Linked DNA regions of Drosophila melanogaster. The protein of the gene in region 1 purifies or fractionates together with the protein of each later gene. This does not show direct contact. Each region holds a gene or a part of one and is shown in the gene's direction. Other genes may lie near its edges.

What was found.
Region 2: the proteins of p23 (region 1) and CARPB purify together in Drosophila melanogaster (affinity purification with mass spectrometry, with the first as the bait; one large-scale study listed by BioGRID). This does not show direct contact.
Region 3: the proteins of p23 (region 1) and bor purify together in Drosophila melanogaster (affinity purification with mass spectrometry, with the first as the bait; one large-scale study listed by BioGRID). This does not show direct contact.
Region 4: the proteins of p23 (region 1) and RpS10b purify together in Drosophila melanogaster (affinity purification with mass spectrometry, with the first as the bait; one large-scale study listed by BioGRID). This does not show direct contact.

What each region holds. Positions count from the first base shown.
Region 1 is NT_033777.3:9,675,195-9,682,837, forward strand, and holds p23 (p23), read left to right. Parts: upstream 1-2,732; 5' UTR 2,733-2,875; coding exon 2,876-2,892; intron 2,893-3,367; coding exon 3,368-3,454; intron 3,455-3,525; coding exon 3,526-3,782; intron 3,783-3,848; coding exon 3,849-4,042; 3' UTR 4,043-4,464; downstream 4,465-7,643. Other genes in the region: Nepl12 (Neprilysin-like 12), read left to right, coding at 358-1,470, 1,530-2,525; nmdyn-D7, read left to right, coding at 4,887-5,015, 5,080-5,246, 5,305-5,472, 5,523-6,222; CG9444 (uncharacterized protein), read right to left, coding at 6,328-6,717, 6,776-7,081, 7,142-7,347, 7,410-7,643. UniProt on the Drosophila melanogaster protein: Cytosolic prostaglandin synthase that catalyzes the oxidoreduction of prostaglandin endoperoxide H2 (PGH2) to prostaglandin E2 (PGE2).
Region 2 is NC_004354.4:9,779,856-9,788,292, forward strand, and holds the start of CARPB (carbonic anhydrase-related protein B), read left to right. Parts: upstream 1-3,367; 5' UTR 3,368-3,544; intron 3,545-8,437. Other genes in the region: CG1354 (uncharacterized protein), read left to right, coding at 386-446, 656-1,037, 1,304-1,873.
Region 3 is NT_033777.3:16,257,418-16,265,658, reverse strand, and holds bor (belphegor), read left to right. Parts: upstream 1-1,543; 5' UTR 1,544-1,589; exon of another isoform or gene 1,590-1,642; 5' UTR 1,643-1,706; coding exon 1,707-1,929; intron 1,930-2,037; coding exon 2,038-2,512; intron 2,513-2,572; coding exon 2,573-3,397; intron 3,398-3,469; coding exon 3,470-3,668; intron 3,669-3,732; coding exon 3,733-3,825; 3' UTR 3,826-4,304; downstream 4,305-8,241. Other genes in the region: asun (asunder), read right to left, coding at 1-1,306; tara (taranis), read right to left, coding at 6,155-8,241. UniProt on the Drosophila melanogaster protein: Required to maintain the proper number of mitochondria in neurons and muscles.
Region 4 is NC_004354.4:19,594,927-19,602,212, forward strand, and holds RpS10b (ribosomal protein S10b), read left to right. Parts: upstream 1-3,113; 5' UTR 3,114-3,151; exon of another isoform or gene 3,152-3,222; 5' UTR 3,223-3,279; intron 3,280-3,498; exon of another isoform or gene 3,499-3,506; 5' UTR 3,507-3,507; coding exon 3,508-3,990; 3' UTR 3,991-4,880; downstream 4,881-7,286. Other genes in the region: CG14205 (uncharacterized protein), read left to right, coding at 1-180, 246-464; CG14220 (uncharacterized protein), read right to left, coding at 5,549-5,635, 5,710-6,418, 6,478-6,586, 6,686-6,764.

The sequences.
Region 1 (7,643 bases):
AAATATCAAAATACCAAGTCAACAGTATTATTATCATCTGTTAACCACCTGTTACTCCGCTGTTGTTATTCACCCGATATTCACTTCCTTTCACTTTCGTTGCAGATAACAGGAATTAAATTTGCAAAATGTAAATACTAAATATCAATAAATATCTCTTATTTGTATACAGATTGTAAACAAAAACTTACTCGCTTCCTTATCAACAATCCGTTGCACATTCTACTGATAAGGGTTTTTTATATCTCTGTATTATTGCTCTCTTGATTTTATTGGGATTCTGCCAGTTTTCGTTCGCGATTTAAATCAGTGTGTTTTATAAGTTCCAATTGAGAAGTGTTCCCATAAAATACGCATATGTTTCATGAATCACTGAAGCTGATCTCCCTGATGCTGCTGTGGGTCATTGTGGCTGCGGTTCTGACGGATTGCGAGGCCAGGAGCCTTGTGGACAGGTCCGAAAATTCCGATAGCAATGGTAGCTCGACCAATAGATCCGCGGCAGAGTACCAACTGCAGGAATACGCGGAATTCATGAAATCCTATATGAACCAAAGTGTAGAGCCCTGCGAGAATTTCTACGAGTATGCCTGTGGAAATTATCGGAACGTAAAGCCGGATCGGTACTCACCGGGCAGTAGAAGCAACCTGGGCGACGTGACTTACACACTGATCGACATCACGGAGCAACTGCTGGGCAGAATGGATCTGGCGGAGGCTCTAAACGTATCCAGCGAACTGGCGGTGGCCCAGCGATTCTACAACGCTTGTCTGGGAGCAAATCTCCATCCTTTCAATGCGGCGGATCCCGCTTACTTGAGTCTAATTCGATCGATTGGAGGATTTCCCGCTGTGGATGGAGACGCCTGGAAAGCCTCAAACTTTAACTGGATCAACATGAGTGCTCATCTGGCCAACTATGGCGCCAACGGTCTGATCCGCGAAACTCTCCAGTTAAGGTATCCCTTTGAGCCCTACACCAAACTGCCCGAACTGGGCTTCGATCACATCATCGTACATGAGGAAAACATTTCCAGAAATACCACACGCGCCTTTCGCCTGAACGAAGAGCGAATGCACGGATATCTGAGGGCGTTCGGCTTGCCGGAGGACAGGATTAGGGAGGCCATCGCTGGGGTCTTTGCCTTCTGGCGGGACGCACTCGAGATCCCGCCCCAGTGCGAAGTGTTTGATCCCTACCGAATTAAGCGAGTGTTTCCCCAATCGGAGTACTACTATAACATCTCGTGGAGTGGACTCCACTCCACTAACAAATTATTCTGCGACTTTTACTACGTTGAACTGGACAAAGTATGCGCCCGACATCGCAAGGCTGTGGCCAACTACCTGGCCATGAAGCTGCTCTATAGATTCGATCCCAAACTGAAGGCGCCCAGGTACCAAAGGAACTACTGTTCGGTTACGCTTTATCAATCCATGCGGTTTCTGTTCAACAAACTCTACATGGCTGTGGGTAACGAATGCGTATGATGAGAATACCAAATAATCTCAACACTCTTGTGTTACAGAACAACTTCAGTGAGGCGAAGAGGCTGGAGATGTCGGAAATGGTGCGGGAACTGCGAAAGAGTCTGCGAAAGGCGCTGGAGGATGCCGATTGGCTGGATGCGGAGAGCAGGGCGAGGGCACTGCTTAAGGAGTCCAGAATACAGCCACGCATTGGTTCGTTCCAAGATGATGCACTTTCGGATCGAATAATCCGGGAAATCAACAGTCTGAAAGTCATCGAGGATCGCTATGCGGAGACCAACATTAATTTGCAGCACCTAGTTGTACAAATCAATCGATTTAGCAGTCGGCATTTTCAGGAGCTGACCAATGACACCAAGCCACAGAAGATCCTGACAGGATTGCAGGTTGGAGCGGGCTACTACACTCCGGACAACTCCATTAATGTGATGGCTGGCGTGGTGGAACCACCGATATACCAACGCCACCTGCCGATTTCCCTGAAATTCGGCACATTGGGTTTTATCGTTGGTCATGAACTCATCCACGGCTTCGATACGACCAGCTCCTATTTCGATGGCAATGGTCACATGGAGTCCTTGTTGTCGGAAATTTCGCAACAGGCATTAGAGGATCGCGCCGAGTGCTACATGGACTACTATGGCAAGTACCAGGTACCGGAGATCAGCAGGCGTGTCAACGGAAAAACTACACTGGACGAGAATATCGCAGACAATAGCGGATTAAGACAAGCATTGACGGCCTATCGCAGTCACAGGCAGCAACTGCTGGAGCATCCTGGGCAGGAGAGGATAAGCGACGCCATGCCGGGTCTCGATCTCACGCCGGAACAGTTGTTCTTCCTGGGATTTGCCCAGCTATTTTGCTCCCATTACGAGGAGGAGCACTACTGGAAAGGTCTTAGCGATGTGCACACCTTCGACCAATTTCGTGTCCTGGGAGTTTTGTCCAACAGCGAGGACTTCTTCCACGCCTACAACTGCTCCGTGGGCAGCGGCATGCGTCCTGGCGCCAAAACGTGCCGACTTTGGTAGATCATAGATTTATAATCATCATCATAAATTCCTTGAACCAAATAAAAGTTGATTTCAATACTTTTTACCGACAATGTAAAATGTTTTGACACAACACTTCAAATTTACGTTACACGTAACAAGCTAACATTTGTGGTTTGAGTACAACTATCGAAGTTTCGCACCCCAGAGCACCGTTCAAATTTAGTCACATCTCCGCAGCGCGCTCGGTAACTCTGTTTCTCATGTCAATTTTGTGCATGACAATTTTGTTCAACAGAAACTGCCTTTTTTTGTAACCAAGTCAGGCTGTCAGTCAGAAGTGTTCCGACTTCGTAAAACATAAACCAACAATTCACAGCAACAACATAATGTCGGCAGCAGCAGGGTGAGTCCACAACCGGCCATCTCAGTGCCAATCGGCGATAGCCGGACCATCTTTTTGTGGCTTCTTTGTGCGTCGCGTGCTTTGTCGTTGCGGCGGCGTCCATTTTCGAACTCCCGGCCGTGAAAAACACATAATTTTCGTTCGGATGACCCTTATTCTCGCGCTCATCCGCCTGGCCAAGCGTTTGTGTCCACGGTGGGCGTGTCCTGTGCGCATCTGCATTGCGATATTTGTGGAACTAATCGGAGGGTCCAGTGTTTGAGGTTATGTTTTCGGCTGGCGGTAATGCCGTGCATTTTCGGCATGGACTTTTGCCTGGGCTTATGGTTTATGCAAATCTAGCTAGCTGGGAAGCTATTTACATAGTTCGTGCACCCGCTTCCAGAAAGTCCGACGCGAGTTGCCATGGCAACGGATCTCGCACAACGACATGAAGCTCTTATTTATGTTTATCCAACTTGATCCTCCATTGCAGCTTGATTCCGCCTCCAGTTTCCTGGGCCCAGCGCAATGACTTGATCTACGTCATCATCGATGTCGAATGCAAGGACATCGAACACAAGTATATGCCCCCATATGTAGTATGTCCATGCTCCTTGCACATCCTAATTCCATATATTTATCCCAAAACAGAGTTACGGAAAAAACCTTCACCTTCAAGGGCGTAAACGTGCTGGATCCGTCGAAGAAGTACGAGGTCACACTGAACTTCCTCCACGAGGTGGATCCCGAGAAGGTGACCAGCAAGAACATTGGCCGCTGCCTGGAATTCACAATACCCAAGAAGGCGGCCGGTCCCTACTGGTCCTCGCTGACCACGGACAAGACCAAGTTGCATTTCCTAAAAGCCAACTTTGCCAAGTGGCGCGATGAGTCCGACGACGAGGAGGGTAAGTTGACATCCTCATCCCCAAGATCTCATCCAGCAAACCCACTCATACAAACGCACTTTGCAGGTGACCAAAAAGACAACAGCATGTTTGGAAATTTCCTTAACAGCCCTGGTGGCGATTGGAACAACAAGTTCGACGATTTCAACGTCGATGACGAGGAGGAGGACTCGGATGACAACATCCCAAGTCTGTCCCAGAACGACGAGGATGACGAGGAGGGCGGCGAGGGTGATAAGGAGAAGAAGCCAGCTGCCTAGACGGTCGCTCAGATGGTGTCTCGCAATTTGGCGTAGTCGTAGCGTTAGGCGTGGCTCTTATACCATAAGTCAGCACACGATCACAACACTCACTCCTCACATACACACCAGAAAAGAAAAAGAAGAAACACTCAATCACTCATAAAACATCCACAAACGCATGCGTACATGAAACACTATTCCAATCGAAGAAAACCACATTTAATATACCTGAATATTATGCGTATTCAGAGGAGAGATGTTAACAAAAAGCAACACAAGGAACAAGATGATTTGGCGCCGACAAGGGAAACCATAAGTTTTACGCTAGAATTTAACAACCAGAGGAAAGCTACAACCAATTTATTGCAAAAATCAGTTTGCAGTTTATTATTTTTGTTTCCTGTAAATAAAGGAAATTAACAATAAAAAAAATGAAAAACTTATATTCGGCTTTTTATTTTCAATATTTTATAAGTTTACAACATTCTATAAATGTTCTAGAAATCTCTAAACTGTTAAATTCGGAATGCGCAGTCCAGCTTCTTAAAGATGTCGCAAAGAAGGCTTTATCTTTGAATAGATAGCGATTTTAAAAAGAAATTATAGGTAATGGTTAAAAATTGTTTATGGGTAATCCCCTAGAATTTGGGTTTAAAATTAACATAGGTATTTTTTTCTTTAAATTTTGCGCCCACTTAAATGAATTTTGTTATGTTGGCAACACTGTTGCTGTGACAACGCGGGAAAGAAGAAGCACAATTGAAATGCAAAGCAAACAAACAGTTATCACTCGAAATAAAGGACTTGCTGTCAAGCGATAGAACGGAAAAGCAAGGTATAAGATTCCCCTCAAAACGATACCATGAAACCCGCTGCGATTCCGGCTAGCGAGCGGCGTCTGGCCTTCGTGGCCGAGTGGTTCCATGCAGAGGCTGGAATCATACGCACCTTTCTGATCACCTACTATGTATCCGACAAGGCCGTGGAAGTGGTGAGGATTGGTAGCACAAGTTCTTCAAAGAAACACATTTAACCAAGGCCATGTTTTCCCTCAGTTCGACCAGCGCAACAAGCGCACATTTCTGCGACGCACCAAGATCCCGGAGCTGACCCAGCGCGACTTCTTTGTGGGCTCCAAGATCAATGTCTTTGGCCGGCAGTTTGACATTGTGGATTATGCTGACGACACTACGCGGACAAACCTAGCCAAATATCGCAAGAAGTATGTTCCTTCATCGACAGCTATCCACTCGCTAATCTGTAATTCCCATCTCTTTCAGGGGATTCGTTTTGCTCAAGAACAATATGTGGACGAAGCACCTGGGCAAGTTCCTAAAGACTCTGATCGACAACAAGATTAACATAAACCAGGGCATGATGGTTCAGTTCTCTCCCAAAATGGTAACTCAGTTTCTGTCCGGCAAGGACACGACGGATGTCTCCTCTTCGTGAGTAAAGATGGCATGCCAAGGAACACATCTTATCCTCTAAATTCCAGAGTCCTTATGAACGAGCTGCTGGCTGGTCCGGCCATTAGTCTGGAGCTAATCGGCGACAACGTAGTGGAGACCATCAAGGCCTGCGCCCAGTACAAGAGCACAGAGGCGGAAACACCCAGTGTGAAACTGTCGCCCAGTTTGGAAGAGCTGTTTGAAAGTGAGGAGATTCGTTATGGATTTTACTACTCTGATAACGACAACGACGTGGAAATGGACCTAAAGTTCATATCTGAGGCGAGGCACAGCATAATTAAAGAATGTGTATTCAAGAATACAACACTTGCCATCATTAAGCCGCACAGCATCAAGGATGGTCTCCTGGGAGACATCATTTCCGAAATCCTGTCGAATGGCTTTCGGTTGACAGCCATGCGCATGATTCTAATGGCCCGAATCAACTGCGAGGAGTTCTACGAAGTCTACCGCGGAGTGGTGCCCGAGTATATACCCATGGTTGCTCAGTTGGCCAGTGGAGTATGCATGTGCATGGAGATTGCTTGCGCCGATCCCGAAAAGAAAACTGATCGCGAGTTCCGCAACTTCTGTGGACCCATGGATCCGGAGATCGCCAAACTGTTGCGGCCTCACACGCTGCGCGCCAAGTTCGGCAAGTCCAAGGTGCAGAACGCCGTCCACTGCACTGATCTGCCAGATGACTCCAACCTGGAGCTGCAGTATATGTTCAAGATAATCGACTGATCTTAGTTTAGTTTTTATTTGTTTTCAGTTAAATGCATGTTTGCCTGTGTGCGTTTATCAATAAATTACAAGTGCAATGAAAATACTAGACCGTAGAAACTTCTCCTATATGCTCCCGCTGCGGCTGGTGCTGGGCACATCCCGGTCCTCCGCTTCACTGTCCATCCTCACATACATTCCGGCCTTGCGCTCCTGCAGAGTGTAATCGAAGGCCAAAAGGGCATAGAGGATGATGCAAACTAGCATTACCACCGCATAGAAGAAGTACTCGGCCATCTGTGAGCTAAGCATACCCAGCTCGGTGACCAGAACCACGATCAGATTGCCGAAAGCATTATTTAGAAACCAGGCTGCCGTGACCACCGACTTCATAGAGGTCGGTGCTTGGGTGAAGGCGAACTGGAGACCCGGAATGGAAAGCAGTAATTCGCCCATCATGAGCAGCAGGAACTGGGGCAGTTGCCAAGCTATATTCACTGTTTGGGGCGGGGAATTCTTCGAATATTTCGGGTTAATAAACGATCAGGTGAGGTATCTTATTATTCCTGCTTACCTTTATTCGTTCCTGCAAGGCTCCTGCACAGAAAAAGGCGCCGGCGGAGAAGATCCCACCCACAGTCACACTATGGAGCGGCTGGAGCTCCCAGTTGAAGTAGCGGCGCAGCAAGGGCACTGTTATATACTGCCATAGAGGGATGAGCATGAACAGAAAGATGGGTCCCACGGCCTTGGCCTGATCCGGCTGGATGGTCACGCCCATTAATGTGGTATTCATCTGGGTGGCCTGGAATGTCCAGCTGGAATCCTGTTGCGCCAGCAGAGCAAAGTAGAAGGGCAGTGGGATAAACAGCTTGGATATCTAAAAGAAACGAAATTATGAAGTTGAAAGAATCTTCATTATAACACAAGTATAACTGACCCTCAAAACTCTGGACACATCATTGACGAAACCCATGTCGTAGGCTACAACTGCATTGTGTAGCCAGTAGTTGGAGCGCTTTGTCGACTTGCGACGTCGCCACTTCTCCACGAGAGCGGTCTTTATGCAGCCGCAGAACTTGAAGAGTATGTTGTCATCGGACAGCTTTTCGGACTTGTAGAACCATTTTCCAACCAGAAAGATAACTAATACCACAAGCATGCGTAAATTAAATAGAAATAAGCTATGAAAACTGATAGTTACTTACACCAGGCCATCATAAAGGCTGCGCCAAGGGTGCCGAATACGGCTGGATAGCATTCCGCCTTGTCAAAGCACTGCGTGTTAGCTCTAACCAGCGGCGGAAGGATCTTGCTCAGGAATATTCCAAAATAGTAGACGAAATAGTAGAAGGAGAAGTACTCGGCCAGATGGACGCTCTGCTCCGGCAGCTTGAACTGCAGTGCGCCCAGCGAGGTGATGCAGGCTCGTATCGATCCAT
Region 2 (8,437 bases), on another chromosome or scaffold:
ATGCTTCACTGTCCTTCGCGTTGTGGGCGTGTCGCGGCCTTAGCAATTTTATCAGATCCAGTTCCCAATATGCAAATTGCCCCCGCCTTCGGTTCGTTTCGGTTTCATTTTCCTGCGCTTTTTATTTGTGAGCGACTTCATTTTGGTTTCGCTGCCCCTTTGCGGATGGCGCAAAATTATAGAAAATTGCCATGATTGGCCGCCGATGCTGCCGGGCTACCAAGCCAGTCAGTCAGTCAATCGTTTTTGTTTTTTCATATTCTTGTATTTTTGGATTTCTGCATTTCTGCGTCCAGCCAAGTCATCCCGACTAACATGCGTCTTACCTCTTCTTTTCATCTGCTCCTGCTGATGCTGCCGCCGATGGCTTTTGCCTTACCCACACGTCGTGTTCCGGTGCCCGATGAGCGTTTCGATTACCTGGTGGAGTACCACAAGCCGGCCAGGTGAGTTGGAGCATACAAATCCATTGCATTTTAGTTTTCCATTGCTTGTAACAAAAAAAAACATATACCTGCATCACGAAACGCATTTAAAACGCGTAACAAGTTTCGGGACTTGCTATTTTCGTTATTTGCTTGCCATTTGCTTGTTAAGTTTAATAGAAAAGTTCTGCACAATCGAAAGTAATAAGTATTTAAAAAAAAAAAACTAGTGTGGTTCCTGCCTATTTGAACGTCGTGGACATTGCTGGCTTGGTGAAGGGAGCCGCCGAGGGTCAGGGACTTGGCAACGACTTCCTCTCGCACATCAGCGCCTGCGATGCCATTTTCCACTTGTGCCGCGCCTTCGAGGATCCGGATGTGACCCACGTGGAGGGCGAGGTGGATCCGGTGCGCGATCTGGAGATCATCTCCGAGGAGCTGCGCCTCAAGGACGAGGAGAATCTGCTCAAGAACTTGGACAAACTGGAGAAGGTGGTGGCCCGCGGCGGCGACAAGAAGCTCAAGCCCGAATACGATTCGATGCTTAAGATTAAGGATATCCTTATCGATCAGAAGCGTCATCTGCGCTTCGAGGACTGGAATGCCCATGATGTAAGTACGAAAACAATCCACATCCGCTGGGTGGCACTAACGCTTATTGTTATTCCTTTCTACTTAAAAACAAGGGGATATCCATAAAATATTGTATTGTAAATTTGTTTATTAAGAATGCATTTGTATTCGTGTTTCATTCATTGTTGTTATTATCGTCTTTATTTGTTTGCCAACAAAACAGCGAAATCTGTGGTTTTTTTTCGTGTGACCTTGTGATTTTCCCTCCCGTTCTTATTGACGCCACCACTACTTTGCTCTTTCAGATTGAGGCCTTGAACAAGTATCTGTTCCTGACCTCCAAACCGGTCATCTACCTGGTGAACCTTTCGGACAAGGACTTCATCCGCAAGAAGAACAAGTGGCTGCCGAAGATCAAGGAATGGATCGACAAGAACGATCCCGGAGCACTGCTCATTCCCTTCTCCGGCGCCTTCGAGCACCAGCTGACCGAAAAGGACGAACTGGAGCGCAAGGCCTACGAGACGGAGACCAAGTGCAAAAGTATGCTGGAGAAGATCGTTGTGACCGGCTACAAGGGACTGCAGCTGGAGTACTTCTTCACCGCCGGGCCGGATGAAGTGAAGGCCTGGACCATCCAGAAGGGCACCAAGGCTCCCCAGGCTGCCGGACGCATTCACACCGACTTCGAGAAGGGCTTCATTATGGCCGAGGTGATGCACTTCGAGGACTTCAAGGCGGAGGGCAGTGAGGCGAATGCCAAGGCCGCTGGCAAATATCGCCAACAGGGACGCAACTACACCGTCGAGGATGGCGACATCATATTCTTTAAGTTCAACGCCGGCGCTGGCCTCAAGGATGCCAAGAAGAAATGATACCGTTTGGCCATGATCATCGCCATGTCCACCGTTTTGTACATTAACTTGATCTTGTACTCCCAGATGTTTCGCTTCGCCAGAGGCTAGCTCCTCATTATCACATCCCTCACTCTCATGTTCGAGGCCTGAAAATGCATTTTGAATTTCCTTTTTTTTTGTACGCTATGTAAACACGCTTATGACACACAATCTCAGTCGTTGTTTGTTATGGTAACAGGCGGGTTAACTGGAGCACCATTTGAATCCGCAGTGATACTTGAATATTCTATAAGAATTTACCTATGTATCTTTGTGGCTATATGATCATTTGTCATGGGATTGAGATTTTTAAACATGCAAGTAATAAAATCAGGTTGTAGATTTGGCAAGTACTAGTATTGTGTTGCTATCCCTTTGCTCCTAGCTAGCAACAAACAATAAGAAATGACATATCCCTTGTCAGGCATTGACATTGTGGTAACCGAAGTCTCGGATTTCTATTGCTGAGCCGTGGCAAAACTTTTTAATCATGCTGGCAAAGTTGCTGTTGGAAACACCTGTGCAAACCTCTTTGCCACCAGAGCCAACAGGAAAAGCGGCCAAGTGCAAGGAGCTGTGCCACAAAGACTCAAAAGGAGGGAGCAGGGGCTGTGCTGTGCGCTGGTTGCTCTGTGCAAATGCAGCTGCATCCAGTACACAAAGGATCGGGTGGTTGAGGTAGCTGGCTGGTTGCCTGGTTGGTTGGCTGGTTGGCTGGTTCCACTGACTCTGGTCGCAGCGGCAACTTGCTAAGCACATAATTTGGTTTACCGCATTGCCAAACATGCGCCGCCAGAAACACGCACATTCCCCCTAAATCCCAATCTCAAACCCTTTTTCGGTTGCTTCTGGGTTCTGTTAATCTTTGCCAAAAGAAACTTTTCTTGTGCACCGTGTGACGAGCTCGAAATGTGGAGCATAATTCAAAAGTCTGCAATGAAAGTAAGGAAAAGTTTCAAAAATGTTCTATACATTTTGGGATTATGGTTTTGAGTGCAAGAAGAATGCCTCAAAATATTCAAATATTATCTTATAAAGGACCTGATTCATAGTTCAAGACTTTTTTTTACTACCAACTCATTAAAAATTATACATATAAGTGCAGTTATTTTTTAGCTATTTTTTAAATAAATTTTATAAACTATTTTTTGTTTTTTGATATTGTTTAACCCACAGTGCCACTGTGCGCAACTGCATTGCATCCTTGTGTGTTGGCTGCAAAAGTTTTTTGCGTGAGCTCGACAACTTTTCATATGAAATGTGCAAAATTACACACTCCTCCGGTCCAAGAAACGAGCCGACAAAAATATTTTGAATGTTTTATTAGCTCCCAAACTAGCCAAAGAGTGGGCGTGGCAGTTGGAGTTGCGGTGGAAATGGAGAAATCCAATTGCCCCGGCCTTGTAGTTAATTAAAGTGTAATGTCCTGCCCCAAGAATGGCTACACATTCAGCAGGAGCTGGAGCTGGAGCCATCGTGGTGCCCACGTTGACAAGGCCCATCAGAGGAGCGTGAAATATGGCCACTTTAGAGTCCGGCCAAATGGCCCGTTCGCCGTAGAGCCGCTCTGTCCTCGACGTTCGTCAACAAAGGGGCCAAACACAAATCATTCGGAATAGAACAATTCGGAATAATGGGTACGAGTTTCAGGTGAGCGAATAAAGAAATACCCTATACGTATTGAAATCGGTTGGTATCAGTGGATCTTTCTGGTGTCTAAAAGTATGCAGCAATATATTTCTAATTTGTCTGCTCCAAGGATTCACTTAATGTTGAAAGGAGATAGCAAGTAGCCATGTTGCAACATCCATGTAATAGATAAGTCGCCCGATCCTGCCAGGCTAACGATAACAAAGCCAACTAGTCGCAGCGGCATCGTCATTCATGCACTCAATTCAGAAATTCATTCAATTCAATTGAAAAATGGCGCTTGAATATTTGACGCATGCAAAATGGTTGGGCGTTAGAGCGTAGGGGGTGGGCGTGGCACGCCGTCAGCATCAACTGTCACTTGCAGAGGGCATCGTGGGCAGCAAAGCGTTAAAAATGACTGTCATAAATTAATGAGCGACGAATCCGGAGTGACGCATCGAAATTGAATTGAATATATTTTTCGCTGAATTGGCGTTCATTATTCATTTACAGCTGTCTCTAGACATTCGAAGATCTGATACGTACATATATATATATATATATGTATATATCTATCTATTCCAACTACCTTTAATTGCTTGTAAAAAGTGCATTGCACCGTTGGCTGTGCCACCCACTTTTAAGCCCACCCATCGTCTCAATTTCAATCCCAATCTGGCCATAAACGTGACAATAATATAAATCAGCAGATTGCGCCGCACTCACTCACTCGATGGGCTCCTCCGGAATCCGGAACCTTATCGTCATAATCACGTATCCGCATCCCCCCGTTATTATCATCATTATCATGGGCAGGACCCATCATCATTGTTCCTGTCGTCTACGCCGGCATTTAACTTAATGCCCACATGCGGCGACAGCGTAAAACGATTTGAGTCCCCGGGATTAGATTCCCAGCTGCAGCAACAGGAGTTCATAGTGGGTGTGGGAATGTGTAACGGTATGGGTATGGGGTCAACTCAAATGGGTTGGAGGAGTGGGGTCAGGGGTCAGGTCTAACTTGCGTTGCAACGAAGGTAAAACGTGCCGTTCATGGAAATAAAGCGTGTAATTGTTTTGGCAGCTGCCGAAACGTTTTAACAGCTAATTAAGAAGCCATCAGACACAGGAAAATGGTTAGAGAAAGTAGAGAAAGCTGCTGGGTTCGAGAGTGTGGGGAAACAATGGCAGCTATATCAAAAAGATTTAACTCAAGATTAGAAAACATTTGACGAAATTAAAGTATATTATAACAACGATTTTCTAAACTCATTTTTGCCACATAAAATCGAACTATTTTAAAGGGTAGTTCAATGATCATAAACATTTGCAGGCATGTTATATTAAATGAAAGATCGAATGGGTTGAGTATAAAGTTCTTTTAGTTCACGTTGCACTCGAATTTTCCGTTGCCTTCGTTTTGACAAAGTCACTGCAAGCAGAGCAATTTCATCAACACCTTCTCTCGAGTAATTAAATTCGCTGGGCGGAAGTTGGTTTCCGATGCTCCCGATTCACGACTTTGCCTTTGACACTAATAAGCGGGATATCATGCCGTGGTCTGCGAGTATTTTCGTTGGCCTTCTGGGAACCGAAATCTGAAATCTGAACGCTAAAATCCGAGAGGCAAAAGCTGAAAGGCGAGAGTCAGCGCTGAAAAACAATACATTAAGCGACTTTCAATCTCCCAGTGGGTGGTCTCAGTCTGTCTCAGTGTGCGTGCTTCTCTCGCTGTTTTAGTGTGTGTGTGTTTGAGTGCAAACAGACTCACACACACACACACACACGGACAGGCGCACACGTATGGCACCGGAAAATGTGTTCATTTCCGGTGTCAGTGTCAGAAGCAACAATGGGGCAGCATCTCGCCAACTTTTGCCCGCCGTGACTTTGATGAAAAATCGCGAAGCTGACGCTGCCAGTCGACCTCCGAAACGTGTGTGTCCTTGGCGATGGCAGCGTGACACGATGGGCAATGGGGTCAACCGATATTTAACATCATCAATTGGTTGAAGAAAAAACTACACTTTGTATACTTTTATGCGGAATAAGGAACAAATTCATAGTTAACCAATGAGTCAAATGTATTGTAAATCCTGTTTTAATGCATTTTTTCTACTGGTATTCTTTACATTTAAAGAGCTTTTAAGTAGCTTAAAAATAAATATTTCGGTGCCACTTTGGGTTCATTATAACAATAAGCCATTCCCTAATGAGTTGCAATAGTTTGCCATCTCTAGGACTTGCAGACACACACACACACCCACACACTCGACTCCCTTATGTGCGATGCACTTCATTCAGGCGAGAAAAAGAGAAGAGACATCATAATAATGTGGCCCATGTGGAAAACAAAGCAAACAAGCAAACAAAACCCAACCAACAAGTGAGCAGACAAAAAGAGCCTGGCGAATGCCAAAAAGTAGGCAACACATCCTATCCCACACACCCACACACACACACCACCAAACGAAAGAGAGCTGCCCAAATGCAGCATATATTTTTAATTTCCTCTTATACATATGCAACCTATAGAATAAAGGGGTCCACTACGGCAACCGCAATCTATACTTATGAACCACTCCAACCCGCACCCGTCTATGTCTATATACATATCATGTGTAATGTTTGTGGGTTAGAAGCCCATAAGTAAAAGCAGCACAGGTACCGATGGAAATGGGAATAATGGAAACAATGCAATTTGGTCAAGAACGAAGTAACTCGATAACTTATTAAGGGTGCATGATATGCATACATGTGGTATGAGATGCCGTACGTTGCTTATTTAAATGATTGCAGTCATAACAATCAGCATCAATCTATCAATCAATAATTTGAAGTGCCTATTGTTTAAGTGTAAAATTACTATGTCAATGCCAATAGTTGCTGTCTAGTTAGGAAAAAGTTCTTCAATATTTCAATGAATATTTTAAACCTTTCATTTCCATCTTTAATAACATAATTTTCATCTGGTTTAATTCGCTTTCCTCGACTTTCGATTGCATTTACCGTGAGTGTCGTCGGACGATCTGAGGCATTACTAATAAGGAGCCAAGTGGGGGCTTTTCATGCTTGACTGGGCCATCGATGTGAAGTTCGTTCGGCCACGCCCCCAACTTCTGTCCTGCAACGCCCACCGTTTGGGCCGTTTCGCTTTGTCGGCCAATGTGTGTGGCTGTAAAGTTTATTTATGGCCAACTCCCTGGGCCTTCCATATGCCTGATTTATCGCTGTTATTGAAAAATTCGTAGTGCAGCTTTTAATTATGAGGCGAGGTGCAAACAGAAAAATGGGTATATATTACAACAACATAAAAATAAAAGAGTGCAAAAATAAACAACATATAGCCGAGTGCAGAGTGAATAGTGCTGACTGCAAATCCCCTGGCAAACAAATAAATTGGAAAGTGGGCAAAACTGAACCAGAAATTATGTGACTCTAGAGGCTATACTGCGAAAAATGTTGAAAAAAACCGAAAAAAAAAAATGAAAGAAGAACTTCGAGTGTCACGACTGCCAAATTAGTGTTTATTTTATTTTACTTTATATATTTTGTACAATTTTTTGCTCGCTTCTCAGCGATCTACCAGAATGTTACTCGTGTGGCGCCGTATGCGTTTTAATTTGCCGGAAATGAAGCGGGCATAAAAAAGCTACCTCACTCAAAAAAAAAAAAAAAGAAAAGAAAAATTGTAAAAAAATATAAAAAGAAACGCTGAGAAAAGGAGCAAAGGAGCTGGGAGACAAAACGAGTTACATGGCAAAACACGCGCCATTGCACACAAAGAGGGTAGCAGGAGGCGTTGGGCGGCCAAAAAGGGGCGGCGAATTTCCCAAGGACGGGGGGCAAGGTGCCGTGTGACATGCATGGCGCAAGTGTTTTAACACAATTTAATATGGCCCGACGATGACGACAGGGACAACGGGAGATGACACTGTGCGGAAAAGCGGCGGGAAAAGCGGCGGGAAAAGCGGGGGCATGCGGAAGGGCGAACGGAGACAACTTTTCCCAGCGATGACATGCACCATAGCCAGATAATGTGAGCGCCCGACGACGAGGCCCAAGACGAAAACAACGCCCCGACCAGAAAACCAGCTCAAAAAATAGCACTGGCAAAAATTAGACTACAATTCTAAATGAACCCTAAAAAAAAAAATGGTTTCTATTTTAAAATCCATTTTAAAAGTTTTTACTTTTCACAGTTACTTAAGTTTTTTTGCTATTCAAATTTATAATACATTTTCACTGATGCATGCTGTTCATTTTTCGCAGTGCAACCAATTCAGCGCCCAACAAACGACCACGTTGTTGTTGGTAATGTGCATGGGCGGCTGCGGGGGCTGGGTAAAGGAGTTTGGTGGGGGAGGGGGGGGGGTCGCACACCCATGCAACGTTATTAAATCATAAAGCGCAAGCTGCCGCCGCCGTCTGATGTTCGTCCCCATATTAGGGTTCTTCGAAAAGAACGAATAACAATGATATGCTTATAGAGAGGGGCTGCTTGAAATTAACCCCCAGCAAAATTCGCAAGGAACTGAATATAGCATATATTGTAGTTTTCAAATCAAATATTATGAGTTGAAATCTTGGTAATTAGCCCACTGTGCAATTGGTTGTTGTTTTTGTTAAGAAAACGAGAGCATTACTGCAAAAACTGGGAATGCCACGGGAATCAGAAACTGAATCAGAATCTTTTTTATGTATAAGTAAACAAGTACCCATTTTTCTGAGTGTGGATCGAGTTCAGCAATGCGAGATCGGAAAATACTGATATGGAATTGTGTAGACAACGAATAAGCAATAAGGCTTTATTTGCAATATACTTATAAACACATATATTTATATGAAAATATTACTTACCATATAATCTCTTTCTATGACCTTTTTCATAGTATATTTTTGTTGATTGCG
Region 3 (8,241 bases), 6.6 Mb from region 1:
ACATCTTGATCAGTTGACCAAGTTCGGCGGTGCGATAGTCCGAGACACGTCCTCCGGGGCCATCAGTAATTGATGGAGCCTCATCCATGCAGGAGCGCGTGATGCACAGGGAGTGCACAAAGATCTCGCCACCGCGTGCAGAAAGCATATGGCTGGTGGCCTTTGAGCCGGTCTTGCGCGGCATTTCCAGCAAGACTGAACGTCCGTTAAGCAGAAAGTTAATCAAGCAAGAACTGGGCCGCGAGGTGACGTCCACCGGTGTCACGAGGAACTGACCCAGACAGGGCTGTAGATCTGCAGAGCCGCAACCGCGCGGTGTGCACCACTTAAGAGTCACTGTTTCGTATGTGGCACCTTGCTTGATGCTCGTGGGTAGACTGAAATCTGGGCCACAGGTGATGGAGTGGGCCCTTCGGCTGTGCAGGATTTCCACATCGTAGTTGGCGCTGGAGTTGGCGTTCTGCTCCTCTTTCATGGGTATGTTAGTCACCGTGGTACTAGCTAGGTCGTAATGGTTCAGTATGAGGTGCGTCAGCTTATAGGAAATATCCGGGGCACTGACTGTGTGGATCTCGACATCAAGCAGCGGCGATATCTTGAGCAGGCTGCGATTGGTAACCAACGATTCAACGCCCAGCGGCACAATGTTGAGGATAACTAGGTGGCAATGGTCGATGACCAGTCCCTTCTTGGAGGGCGGAGCTGCTAGGGTGTTCTGCTGCACCAGCACGGTGTTAAAGATGTCCTCCAGGCTTTTCATGCTGGTATTGTCACGCGCTGAAGTTATGCAGATGACGCGACCCTTGTTGGGAATGCGCGGCAGTTCGTCGGTCCCAAAGTCGGCCATTGCCGCCAACTGCTCATCGGTGGGCTCCGCCAGCGCTTCGATGGCGGCCCGCAGGCCATGGATTACCGAGTAGTCAGAAGATGTGGGTACGTTGCGCGACGGCACGCCCACAATTAGCATTGCGTTCATCACGTGCGCCATATTTTGCGTGCTGGGCCTCCAGGTGTTCACGATATGCGCCGCCGTGTCCGAGACAATAAACCGCACATGCTTTTTGCCGGGAAAGAGATCCCAGACCACGCGGCAGTACTCGATGGAGGATTCGCAGGCGCATGTCCACAGGCTCTTGCTGAATTGGGATCCACCGCTGCCGGTTGCATTTCCCGCCGCTCCTGTTGCGCCGCCGTCTGCAGATGGTTTTCCCTTTAGGAAGTCCATCGAGATGTACTCCTCGCTGGCGATGCTAAAGTATCGGGTGTGGTCCAGCACAAAGATGGTCTTCTGGTTGCGTTCGAACATGGTGGACTCGTGGACAACTTAAATTGCCGGGAAATCAAACAAACGCAAACGTTGAATCCTAATTGTTTACAATCTTTGTTCACCACGAACAGCTGTTTTCGAATTCCAAATTCACCACAGCTAATTTTTTTTTATTTTTTTAAATTTACTAAACTGTGTTAAAAAGCTCTTTTCTCAAATTCAACAAAAAAGCACACATTTAAAAAAAATATATCGATGTATTTATAACTTCATTTCAATTTGTCCGTCTCCAATTTACCGAATCTGGCAGCGCTGCTCAGTAGTAAGAATCACGTTGTTAAGCGAAAGCTGTCTAAATTTCATAATATTTTCTAGATTGTTTTTTTTTCCCATACACTGAGTGAAAAGCGCGAGAAGCGCAAGCCAACATATTAGGAAAATGTCGTGGCTTTTGGGCAGGAACCGCCAACAGCCTCAGCCGGATCAGACCGCCGGCTTTTCGGAAGGAGGAGGAGCTGCCGATCCGGAGGGCAGGACGGCCGGCGAGAAGTCCGGGGATTCGCAACTGAGCCGGGCGGAGCGCAAGGCCATGGAAGCGTACCGCTTCGATTCGTCGGCGCTGGAACGTGCAGCGGATGCTGCCAAAACCCTGGAGCGCTCAAGTAAGAACAAAATTTCATCAGCCAATTGCATAACCGGCATGCGCCACGCTATCACAACGTGCGTATGCGTCAGAGTCCATGTCCATAACCCATGTTAATCTTGTGCAGAACACGCCCGGGAGGCCCTCGAGCTGTCCAAGATGCAGGAGGCCACCCGCCAAACGGAGTACAACACCAAGGTCAAGGAGTACGAAGCCCATATCGAGCAGGCCAAGGTCGAGCAGAAGCGCATCGACCACGAGGAGCGCCGCAAAACTCTCATCGAGGAGACCAAGCAGCAGCAGCAGCGTGCCCAATACCAGGATCAGCTGTCCCGCAAGCGGTATGAGGATCAGCTGTTGCAGCAGCAGCGCGTACAGGAGGAAAACCTGCGCAAGCAGGAGGAGAGCGTCCAGCGTCAAGAGGCCATGCGGCGCCAGACCATCGAGCACGAGATCGAGATGAAGGAGAAGAACCGGCTTAAGCTTCTAGAACACGAACTGCGCGCCAAGGCACGAGTGGATCGCGAGAACCGGGATATTAATTTGGAGAAGATCCGTCTCAAGGCGCAGGAGCATCGAACAACCGTACTGGAGGGCATCAAGTGAGTGATACCCCAAACTAGGCAGGATGAAATAACTGATTTTGTGTTACTTATTCACAGAACCGCTGGTACTGTTATCGGTGCCGGTGCTGAGGCTATGCTTACCGACTGGGACAAGGTGCTGACCGCCGCCGGAGGACTTTCGTTGTTGGCCCTGGGTGTGTACACGGCCAAGGGCGCCACTGGAGTGGTCTCTCGATATGTGGAGGCGCGCATTGGTAAACCTACGTTAGTTGGCGAGACGTCGCGCTTTGCTTTTCTGGACGCCCTTAAGAACCCGCTGCACTACCTGAAGAGGCTGCGCGCCAAGCCGACCGATGCGCTGCAGGGCGTTGTGCTAAATCCGAAGCTGGAGGAACGGCTTCGTGACATTGCCATCGCCACAAAGAACACACGTATCAACAAGGGCATGTACAGGAATGTTTTGATGCACGGGCCGCCAGGAACGGGCAAGACCATGTTCGCCAAGAAGCTGGCCGAACACTCTGGCATGGACTTTGCCATCATGACCGGTGGCGATGTGGCGCCCATGGGCAAGGAGGGCGTAACCGCCATCCACAAGGTGTTCGACTGGTCGCACACCTCACGCCGCGGACTTCTGCTCTTTGTGGACGAGGCGGATGCATTCTTACGCAAACGTTCTTCTGAGAAGATCTCGGAGGATCTGCGTGCCGCCCTCAACGCCTTCCTGTACCGCACTTCCGAGCAGAATCCCAAGTTCATGCTTGTGTTGGCCTCCAACACTCCCGAGCAGTTTGATTATGCCATCAACGATCGTCTGGATGAAATGGTGGAGTTCACGCTGCCTGGCCTGGAGGAACGGGAACGCCTCTTGCGCTTGTACTTCGACAAATATGTGCTGCAGCCTGCCGCTGCGGGTGCCAAGTGAGTATTGCAAGAGCTCTTGCAGTTGGAACATTTTTTGATAATTGTTCACAACCATTTATAATCTTCTAGGCGGTTCAAACTGGACACCTTTGATTACGGAAAGACGTGTTCGAAGATGGCCGCTCTGTGCGAGGGTATGTCGGGTCGAGAAATCTCCAAGCTGGGCGTGTCCTGGCAGGCGGCAGTCTATGCCTCCGAGGATGGTCTGCTCACCGAGAAGATGGTCCTGGACAGGTGCTACTCCGCTGCTCAGCAGCATAAGCAGAAGGTGGGTTTGAAAATGTGTATTAACTTATGTGCTTTGGTAACCTTCAATCATGTATCCTTTGCAGATGGCCTGGCTTTCGGATCAGGAGCGTGCTGATCACAAATCCATCACAGGCACAGCTGCCCCACCCCTCACCCTAACTGCAAAGAAACTGTAAAGCGCGGAGGAACCGATGCTGAAGTAGATGCAACCTGCATTCAAAACTTGTTTAGTTTTCTAATCACTTAACTTTAAGTTGGTACGCACAGGGCTTTATCTTACTAACGACCACCAACCAGCAGCCGAGACACCAAAATAGTGCATATCGGTTACGTGTATGCATTTAACAGCCTGTACATAATCGTTGGCGGGAAGATGTGTTCGTCTATAGATACAATTAAGTTTGACCCACAGATAATTGTATTATAAGCCTACATCCACTGTCTCAATAGAATATACAATAAGAAGTATATATTTTAACTGCTGTCGTTGCATTTCGTATGTTAAAGCTTTGGACGTAGACTGTAAATTGAATTCGGTCGCGCCAGCACTGTGAGAGATTTATATTAAACTTCTCGCTGGCTCTTCCACCAATTTCACTTGTCCGCAGTGTTTCCTATATGTGAGTATGAAGTAAATATATATAAATTACCTGTTAAAAATTGCATTTTTATTTCGCCTTTAATAAAAGGACGAATAATGTTTAGGAAATTGGTTATAAGAAAATCGTTCAATGCTCAAAAACACATCATGGGTTTTATTTATTTTTTTTTAAATTTATTAATTTGAGGTTAAACCAAATTTAAATAAACCATCTCATGACTATTTTGGAGTCAGTTGCTACAATTATTTAATTTATTATGTGAAATAATCGCACTACGTTACGTTACGTGTTTTGCACCACCTAGCGGATAGTAGGTGTAGTAAGGACGAGTTGCCAACTATATTTGTCAGTGCCTAATGAAGCGACACCTAAGGGCCAAAGCGAACAACACTTCTGCCATGTCAACTTTATGTTTGCAAATGTAAGTGTACTTACTGCAAATTCTCCTCAATAGGTGTCGCAAAGTCTAAGTGCAAAAAAACTATTAAGCGGAACCCACGGTATCTAATTTAACATCAAATAATAATAATTTAATATCAAATAATTCAATAAAATGAATTCCTTTACTGCCAAAAAAATATTGCTAATTTTAGAACAACAGCTTCCTTGTTTCACCAAAAACACTTTTACAAATTCTTTACTCATACATACATATACATATACATCTACATATGTATGAAATTCATAATTTCCTGCATCGCAACAATATGTAGAGTAGAGTGGAGTAGAAATACAAAAGACTCTTTAAATTTTAATCGATAACAAAAAAGATTTTAAGAACACCAAGCTAGCTTATCGGGTGCATCCACTAGACAAGCAGTGTAAACTGCTTTGTGTAGCAGAGACCCGAACCTAGAGAAATATTTTACAAGTAACGGCAGCACTAAAATTACTTTCACGCAACGGCAACACTTTGTCTAGAATGGCGCGCGAAATCAAAATTTTTGCTTGGCGCGAAGGGAGAGAGAGCTCAAATTTCAATCATAGATATGCGCGAATAATTCCTTTTCAGGATATGTTCAGCTGCAAAGAAAGTGTCCCAACCCAAAAACATTGAAATACATTGTATTTTTTTTTTAACAAATTCTTTATATTTGCTTGCGTTTTTAATTTTTTTGTTATTTTTGTGTTTTTTTTCGGTTGTTTTTTCTTTTATAAAACTTTGTTTTAAGTTGTTCTTTTGTTTGTTTGTTTTCTGCGGTTTTGTATATAAATAATAATACTTATGGCTAGTAATATAGTAAACGTTTTTCGATTTTTCATCAATTTCTCCTTGCAAGCCAAATGCTGCATCGTCTTTAGGCCAACGTAAACGTAACGTAAACGTAAATTTTGTTAATTGATTTGGGTTTTGAAAAATTTCCAACGGCCTTTTGTTGTTCGATTTGATGCTGTTGTTGTTCTTGTGTGGTGTTGAATCGAAAAACTGCAACAATTGCAACTAACAATGCTAAAGTTACGCTAATATAGAATTTTGTTTTGCTTCCGTTTCAAACTTACTTGGCTAGGAGTTCGCTGTTTTGCCTTAAAACTAATAATATTTACACTTAGAAAAATTTGCTAATAGTTTTGCTTGCTCATTTGTCATATTCATTGTTCTGCCATTTCTTCGATCTCTCTTAAGAATTTCATTAAAGATTGCAATTAATTTGTGTCCCCGATTGCTTGTGTGAAGGAAGGGGGAGAGGGGTATTTAGGACCAAGACTTTCGAATATATGTATATATTTATATTCTCATGCACGTTCACAACCTGAGCACAATTAGCATTTAACATCCCCTCAGCCCCTCCCCCATTTCGTCGATTCAATACTGCTTGGAATTGCTAGTGGGCGCCAGCAGGCGACGCGACCAGCACGCCGCCATCCGCTGGGGATCCGTCGCCGTCATCGTCTACAACTGATACTAACTACCGACCATGATGTGGGCCGGGTGCTCCAGTTCGTTGTCGTGCAGGCGGGAGGCGGTCACAACCTGACCGCCCAATCCGCTCTTGAACAGATCCTCGGAGCTGAGCTTACAGCTGGGTACCAGCTCCGTGAACTCCGAACCGAGTCCGAATTCCATGTCCAGGAATCCGTACTCCCAGGTATTGGCGCCCGCCGACACATTGGAGCTAATGCTGCTTACATACGACGAGGTCAGCGAGTGGGTGGCCGAGGAGATGGTCGACAGGGTGGTGAATGTGGCGGTGGTGGAGCTGCTTCCGCAGGAACTGCTACTGCCGCCGCTGGCTTGTACGGTGGTGAAGCTTCCACTGAATGCCAGCGTGGACCCCGAGGAGGAACTGGAACTACTGGCTGGCACTGAAACTGGCACCGCTGTAGGTGTGGCCGCCGACGGAAGTATGCTAAACAAATCGTTGTTGTTGAGCGGATCCAACGCCGATTGCGAACTGAGGCTCAGCACCGAACTCCAGTTGATGGATCGCGTGGAGTCGTCGTCCGCATAACCCGAATCGCTAGTATCGCAGTTGCTGCTGCTTGCGGTAGGTGCAACTGGCGTGGTGCCGTTGCTGCTCACGGTATTCCCACTACTGCTGCTGATCACCGTTGAGGAAGTGGTGTTGCTGCTAGTGCTGCTTGATGCGGGGGAGCTGCTGATGTTGCTACTTAGTGTTGTTGCTGCTCCTCCACTGGAAGCTGCGGCTGCTGCCGAAGCTGCTGCCGCTGCTGCTGTTGTGGTGGGGCAGGCCGGAAAGGGCGTTGCTCGACCAGATTGCGACTCCCGAAAGGGATAGTGATCGTAGGGGTGCAAACTACTGTTGCTGCTCGCCGCCGTCGCTGAGGAGTTGTTGCTGTTGCCGCTGGTATTGCTGCTACTTGCACCCGCTGATGTATCACAGTTGCTCGGCTGCGTGGCGAAGCTGCCCGCACCCGCTGCCGCGCCCCTGTAGGCGGGTTGGCTGTCCAGACGCTCGTGGTAGCTATGCGGCTGCGAAGGCTGCTGTTGCTGCTGGTGTTGGGGCTGGAAACTGAGTTGCTGGTAGTGATCCATGTTGGCCAAACGAGCACAGTTCAACACGGGCGCATAGTCCATCTGCTGCTGCGTATGTGGATGCAGAGGTGCTGGCGGGGATTGCTGCTGCTGCTGCTGCTGCTGGTAGGCTGGGTGGTACTGAGCCGCTTGTGCCGCCGCTGCTGCTGCTGCGGCTGCTGCTGCTGCCGCCTGTTGGTGGTGCTGTTGCGCCGCCTGGTGCAGCTCCTTGGCCTCTGCTTCGATCTCCCGATCAATGCGCTTCAGCGTATTGCAAATGAGCACCGAGCGGTACAGCGACTGCTCAGAAACCTGCCGGAAACGGGAGAGTTTGAACATGGACAGATTGCGTATCTTCAGGCGCGTGTCCTTGTAGCAACTCCTGTTGGCACTGCACCAGCCACCGGGTCGTCCATCGCAGCACCTTTTAAGAGGCAGGCCATGGAGAGGCAAGCCGGCGAATGGAACAACAGGCGCTGATGAGGGCGGCGGACTGATGGGCGATCCTCCAGCATTTCCGGATGCGCCACTGCTGCAGCCCAGGTCCAGATAGGATTTGCCGTTCTCTGCACAACGAATTGTCTGCTGGGGCGCCGCTGGCGGGGCATAAGCTCCACCGTTGGTCGGCTCGTAGAACTGTTGGGCTCCCGATGAGGGATTGGCCGGACTGCTACCCGCTGTCGCCCACTGGGGTGGAGCGAAACCACGCGCCTGCTGCGGTGTTGGCGGTGATTGCGTCATGTGCTGCGGTCCTCCTGTCCGCGAGCAATTCTGCTGCGGGAAAGGCTCCGAATAGTAGTTGGGTTGCCTGCTCCCATATCCGGGGGCATAGCTTCGCTGCTGCTGCGGATGTTGTTGCTGCTGCTGGGCGAGTTGCTGCTGCTGGGGATGTGGTTGTTGTTGGGAGAGCTGCTGCGGCTGCTGCTGGTGGGGATGGGACGGCAGCTGGTGCGAATGAGGGTGCGGATGCGGTACAAAGGGATGATAGCGCATGGGACAGTAGGTGGGTATGATGC
Region 4 (7,286 bases), on another chromosome or scaffold:
TGCTGGGTGGTTTTCGCCTGCATGCACGGCTACGGAGGACTGGCCAACAGCTTCCTTTCCTCTCCCCTTTGGCAGCCGCTGTCCAAGCTATCCTACTCCGCCTACATCTTCCACATGTTCATGGAGAGCCTCAACGCCGGCATTACGCGCACCAACACCTACTTCAGTGATTACCAAGTTGTAAGTTCAAAGCCACATATGCGTTGGTAGTTCGAAACACTAATTGGGAATGGGAATCCTTGCAGATGCTTCGTTTCTGGTGCGATTTTGGCTTTACCGTGCTCCTCGCCTTCGCTGTGTACATTCTGATCGAGGCGCCGTTTGGAAATTTGGAAGGCCTCCTGCTTCCCGACAAGAGGCCCTGTCCACCACGCCCAGCTGTGGAGGAGTCGAAGGAGGCCCCAGTGGGGGGATGCAGTGCATCTGCGCCAACACTGGAAAATAAAACGCCTCTTCCGGCATAAGGATCTCGAAACTATTTATGAGCAAAGATATCAATTATAGGTTAAGGACCTTTTTTTACTAATGTTAGTTCATTTAAGACATACATATATTCTTTAAAACTACAAAGGTAGATCATAAATATGAATATACCAAAGAAATACAATATTATCGACAATTCAATTTGTATAGAACTTTTTTTTAATATTTTTATAAGTAGATTAGCTTTCTTAATTTTCCCATATGACACACTATGGGATATTAACATTAAAAAATTATTTTCTTTGAAAAATTCTTTGATTTGCCCTCTAATCAAAATGTGATTTTAATGAAATGTAATTTACAAAGAAACATCTTTCAAGAGCAGATTTTAATGACTTACTGAACATACTGACGTCATATAATCGATATATATATAATATATATATATTATATAATCGATATAAAAAAATTTTTCTTAAGTTTAATAGTGCATACTTTGGCTTGTAATAATTTACGCTTCGAATTTCGAATTTAAAGTGAACGGGTAATATCTTTTATCTTATACAACTTATACAACGAACATAATGAATCTACGTAGCTTTTTTATAGTTAGATGCACATTACTGGTGGCGAAGTGAAACGCATTTCGGATAAGTTTCGAATGCTGAGTTCCCTATAAAAAACAATCGCAGAACTTGATGAAATAGAAGCCAAAGTGACTGAAAACTATGAAAGTATGAACTATTCAGGCACTGGTTCCAAAACGGGTATCAATTCATGCATAAATTGTAACGTGTAACGAAATAAGTTTATGGACAAGGGCAAGGGAGAAACCTGTACTTGCGGGTGCACGCTTTAAAGTCCGGCTCTAGCTCATGGTGTGGCGGTCTTGCTTGTACAAATACCTTTTCCCTACAGGCATTAATAATTAAAATCAAGAATTGAGCGTGCTTTCAACAACGGAATAGAGGAGCTAGTATACAAAATCGGAGGAAGAAAATTAATATTTTCGAAAGGAGGAGGAAGTTCTAGAACAGGAGGAATAGCTTAAGAATTGGTTGCCTGCGCAACACAGGTTTAATTATGTTCGCGGATTGCCCTATGCTATCTATGACCACTTTCATTAAAGGCATGGCTCTAGCGGCCCCTTTGGTACCCTATGTCCGATGAAACATCAGCCGAGTTCAGTATTTAAGTTTTTAGAAATTCATTTTTTTATTGCATTCATGGTGGTAACTAATAATTAATAGCAATATTTATAAGTAATAATAGGTAAGTAATAAATTAAATAAGTAAATAAATGAATGCAAACTAAAGTAAGATGAGGAAATATAAGGCAGTAGGTGTTAGTTTTTGCCGTAAATTCAAGAAAAATTTTATAAAAGGTATTCAAGAAAATTGTCATTAAATGGATGCGACACAGGTTGCTAAATATATTTTAGAGGAGAACCAAATTATTTATTTAAATTATCCCATAAACTTATGGTAACTTATGGTAAAGCCTTCTAATATATGATTTAAAAATATAACCTAATTTTTCTCAGTGCAGAATGGCGGTTCGGAGATTTTGAATTTTTCCGATGTAGGTTTAGGTCAGGAAGGGTTCATCCAGCATTATTTTATATACTATGTACATATATATTTCAAATTTGTATATGTTCACTTCATCAGGAACTTCTCACTGTGTAACCTAACTTAACCCAACTGTGCGCTTAACCTAACTGTACGGTTCTATTTTAATTAATACATTTTCTGTGTGCTGCTTCTTATCCTCTTCGGAATTTTCGATGGGAAAAAGTTAGAACCTTCGCGTCTACTAACAGATTACTTTTCGCCCCGATATCCACTAACCTGTGGCTGCCCCAGTCGAAACTTGGGGTCTGGGCGGTGGCGCCCATTATCCTGCTGCATAATAATGCTAATTCCTAAAGTTTGTCTATCCCGGGAGCTGTATTGTTTTACAGCTTTAGTGTTAAACCTACAGATTCTCAGAGAACAGATGGCTACTCATTCGTTGACTAGAAGGGAGGGCGGAGGGCCTTTGCTGAGAGACTCTCAAAATTGAAAGTTTTACCTGGTTCGTCGTAAAACTTTTTTTGTTTTGAGTTCAAATTAATGTTTTATAAATGAAATAATAAATAACTAAATAATAATAATAAATAAATAATAAATAAATAAGCTTATATAATAAGATCCATTTTAATTGTTTTTTCATAAAACAAAATGAGTGATTTTTTTTATAATTACAAATGAAACACTTGAATTACCGAAACAAAAACGCTTAACTGTGCCATCACTAATACTTATTGGCAATAAATAAGTGCGATTTTATGACAACAAAGACGTATCGATAAGATGCATGTGCAAAATGCGGTGTGTGTATTAACTTAATACTTGGCCTAAGGCTTATCGATAAGGATATCGATACTAAAAAGTCCGGCACCATTGTCGCTATCGAATGCCCAAGTATACAAGACAAGCTATGAGAACGAATATAAGGTGGTCAGTTTTAAGTAATTCAAAAAATTCTAAGTCAAAATGTGTCGCAAGTGTAGTTACTTGATTTAATCGCGAAATTTACTCGTGGATTATGTCTTAAGATAATATCGATATATTGCCGGCGTCATCGATTGCTGACACATATCGAAAGGTCCGGCCACACTGCTCACCGTCTTCTTCTTGTCATCCCTTCCGTTTCCCTTTCTTTTCGTCTTCACGTTTCCGGTGAGTGCGTGTGCTCCGCGAATTTTTAAGCAAAACTCCCTATTAAATACCTCCAATTCTCTTTTTTACTTGCAGCGGGAGTATTACGATACGTTCGCGTTCGTGTAACTTTGTGTTTGCAAATCAATCCAGGTAATTGTCGCCGAAAACCCCCATTTTCAAGCGGCCGCACCGGGAAAATATGCGCCCAATGTTGTTCCCGAATGCATGTGTACATTTTTTTTTTGTGTGGACAAAGAAGCGAGTCTTTCAGACTCAATAAACAATGTGTGAATTGGATACCACATGGATGATCTGTAGATATATCCTGGCAATGAACCGAATCTAATTGCTATTTTTTTTTTTTGTTGTTTGTGCAGAATGTTTATGCCAAAGGCCCATCGTGTCGCGATCTACGAGTACCTCTTCAAGGAGGGCGTGATCGTGGCCAAGAAGGATTTCCATGCCCAGAAGCACCCGGAACTGGAGTCGATCCCCAACTTGCACGTGATCAAGGCGATGCAGTCGCTCCACTCGCGCGGACTGGTTAAGGAGCAGTTCGCCTGGCGCCACTACTACTGGTACCTCACCAACGAGGGAATCGAGGAGCTGCGCAGCTACCTCCACCTGCCGCCCGAGATCGTGCCCTCGACGCTGAAGCGCCCTGCCCGCTCGGAGACCGTCCGTCCCCGTCCCGCCGTTGGCGGCCCACGCGGACCCGGTGACGCCTCCAAGACCGGAGAGGATCGCTCCGCCTACCGACGTGCTCCCGGCGGCAGCGGAGTGGACAAGAAGGGCGATGTTGGACCCGGTGCCGGAGAGGTCGAGTTCCGTGGCGGATTCGGACGCGGATCGCGCAACTAAACAACCCAGGCGCTTCAGTTTTTTTTTCTAATGTATAAAAAATTACTCAGTAAAATGTTCAACTGAAGATCCATACCCTTAACAATAGAAGAAACCAACATCTGAAAAATGTGTGTGTGTTTTATGATATGACGATCAATTATAAAGCAAACGCAAGTGAAATTCCGTGCTCCCCTCTATTTTTTTTTTTTGTTTTGTTTTTGTTGTTTGGTCCAGTGATTGTGGTGTGCAAATCGGACGTGGATTCAGATCCCAAGCGTGGCTAAATAGTATAGTAAACCCGATGCCCGGCCAAACTGAAACTGCTAACCCAACACATTTTTGCAAGAAGCTCTTCAGATAACTTTAGAAGTAGGATTTTGCAGATAATTCAGTTTATTTTGCGAGGTTCTGTCGAGAGGAAAGAAGGAATTCTAGCGTAAATACGTTTTTTTGAATACAATACATGCATTCAATTTTGGTAATTTCAAAAGATTGTTGTATATAGATTTGGATATTTGTCGATTTGTAGCTCTTTATTATAAAAATATGTGCAGAAATTCATCGCATTCGTTTATAGCTGTGTGCCAAAACATAGTAGACTTGGGTTGGAATAAACCAGTTGGCTCGAAATACTACATTCAAATATTTAAATAACATTAGAATCCAATTGCTCATAACAAAAACGGCATGAATTGCAAGGACATAGATTAAATTTGATTTACCATCAAAGGAAATGGTATATTTTCTAAACGATAAGCCAAAATCTTCGTATGTGGAGGAACGTAACTTAAATGCTCAATTTCGTTTTATTTGTTCACGCTACTTAAACGTTCACAATTAGTTAAATAACTAGTTTACTTAAATAGTCTTCTTTTGCTCACGAGCATCCTTTTGTTGTTCTGTAGCTGCCTTTTACTTATATATTAATTCTAATTTTATAAATACACTAGTTTCACATTTCCCAAAGTTAGGTTTTAGTTAAATCTTATGTGTCTACTAATATTATTTAAAAGCTTATGTGCTTCTCCATTTAACGTTGATTACTTTCAACTAATATTTTATGTAAACAAGTAAGTATGCTGCTATGCTCGGACCATAAAGAATTCGAATCGCTTAGATTATTTATTTAGGCCGACCAAAAGAACTACAACAATATACGACGAATGGCATTATTCTAGGTTTATGCCATGGCACATCGGAGTAGAAACATGGTTTGGGTAGTTAAGGTTATGTACATTCCTCCATTTAGCATAAATCCGAAGATACCTGGAGACTATCATTGCCTTAACATGGTTAAAAGAAGCTGGTTATGGACCTATGTTTCCCGCAAAAACGTTCTGCGCATCGCAACTGGGGCGCACTGCGCTGGAAAGTGTATTCGCTTGCAACAATAAAAAAAAAATCGCTTTGTATACAAAATAATTGTGGTTTCATTATTTACAATGTGCAATACTCGTTTAGAAAAATGTACACCTAATCTAGTGCTACGTCTGTATCAATAATTTTATGAAAGTACGTCTCTTGACCGAGGAAACGGGGCGGGCGTGATGTGGAGACGCCCGGCCCGACGGCGGAGCTATCGGCGCTTTATCGAGATCTTGCCCTTGGCCAGATGGGACATGTTGATCTTAACCTTGGTCTCGTTGGTGCGCTTCACCCAAACCTGCAAGAGCGAATCATGGTTAGAAACTGTTCCGCTGGACTTGTGACCCCCCAATCGGGGAAAGTTGAACTCACCACCTCGTTGCCAATGGCCGTAATGGTGGCCGCGAACTTGCTCATCTCCTTGCCCTCGACATAGACCTGCTGGCCGCGGCAGAACCATCGCCGCTCGTACAGCAGCTTGTTGTCCTCGATGCGAGTCTCCACCAGGCCGCTATTGGAGGTCGGCTCGGCCAGAACGTGCATCGATTGCTGCTGCTGGGAGCCACTGCCGTAGGAGCCGCTGCCGTTCTGCTGGGGAACTGGATTCGGTCTGCCACGCTGGATGATCTTTAGGTCCGACTCGATTTCCTTATCATCCAGCTGGTAGACGAGCAGCTGGCCGGTGGCCGGCTTGCGGCGCTTCTCGATCACCGGAAGCGGTTCGTTGGGGCGACGACGCAGCTTGCGCGTGATCGTCGTCTTGATCTCCATGGAATCGTTGGTCAGCTCGATGCTGAAGCGCTCGTTCTCGATCTGACGCTTGCGGTCCTCGAAGTCCGAGATCAGGTTGTCTTTGAGGTCCATCATCTTTTCGTCGTACTCCTTCTGGGCGGCCATCTTCTCCAGCACATAGTCCCGTTCGACGCACTCGCGCATGTACTCCTTGTAGACCTCGTTCATGCGTCGGCGCTCCTTTAGCTGGCTGTCCAGCTTCTTCACGCGCTTCAAGTACTCCGGATGCACCAGCTGGCCCAGTTCCTCCATCTGCTTCTGCAGGTTGAACAGCTTGTGCTGGTACATTCTACGGCAGTGAAATGATTATGGATCGAAGATAGGAGTTAAGAATGAGCCACTACTTACTGCTCCTTCAGTTCGCTGTTGGTGCCCATGTTGTTGCTGTTGGAGGTCCCATTCATGGCGCCGTAGCGGCTGGGGCTGCGGAACTCCGTCTCGCTGGCGTCGTCCGTGTCTGGAAGGGAGTGGAAGTGGTAGGGGGAAGAGGAGAGCGTTGGACGCGGGACGTGAGTGAAGCCTCCTCCAGGAACGTCGTCTGCGTACTGGTACTCACCTTCTTCGCTACGCTCGTCGCCTATCGACTCGTCGTCGTAGGTGTCCGCTTGTAGTAGTAGACTGTAGTAGTTGGACATGGTCGTGTTGGTGGGTTCAGAACTCGCGGCTTTGAAACTTGATACCCAAAATCAACAATTTGGTGGCAATTGTTTATTATTATTTATTTTTTTCGCTGCGATGCCAGATATACACACGCATACAGTGAAGCAACCACGGCAGTATCGATATATCGAGCACGAGGGCTATCGATCGTTGTCCAGCTCTATGGACTTTTGGCGGCAGGGTTGTCTATCTACCGATAACATTACTCATCGGATATCGTGATTATATGCGCGCGTAGTTCAAACTTTTGATTTTGAAATGGCCATTGTTACAGCCATTTCTGTGCTAAACCAAAAAATTATATATATATATATAAATTCCATTTCAGTAATATGAACATAAATTATTTTATTACCTAAAAATTCTTCAAATTCTATTAAATTTCCTTTTGTATTTATAAATTGCTTAGCTGTAAATTTATCAATTAAACAGACAACCAAACCAAAATGTTCTGTATATGCATATGTAGGAAAATTGTGGTAATTGCTTCATTTATT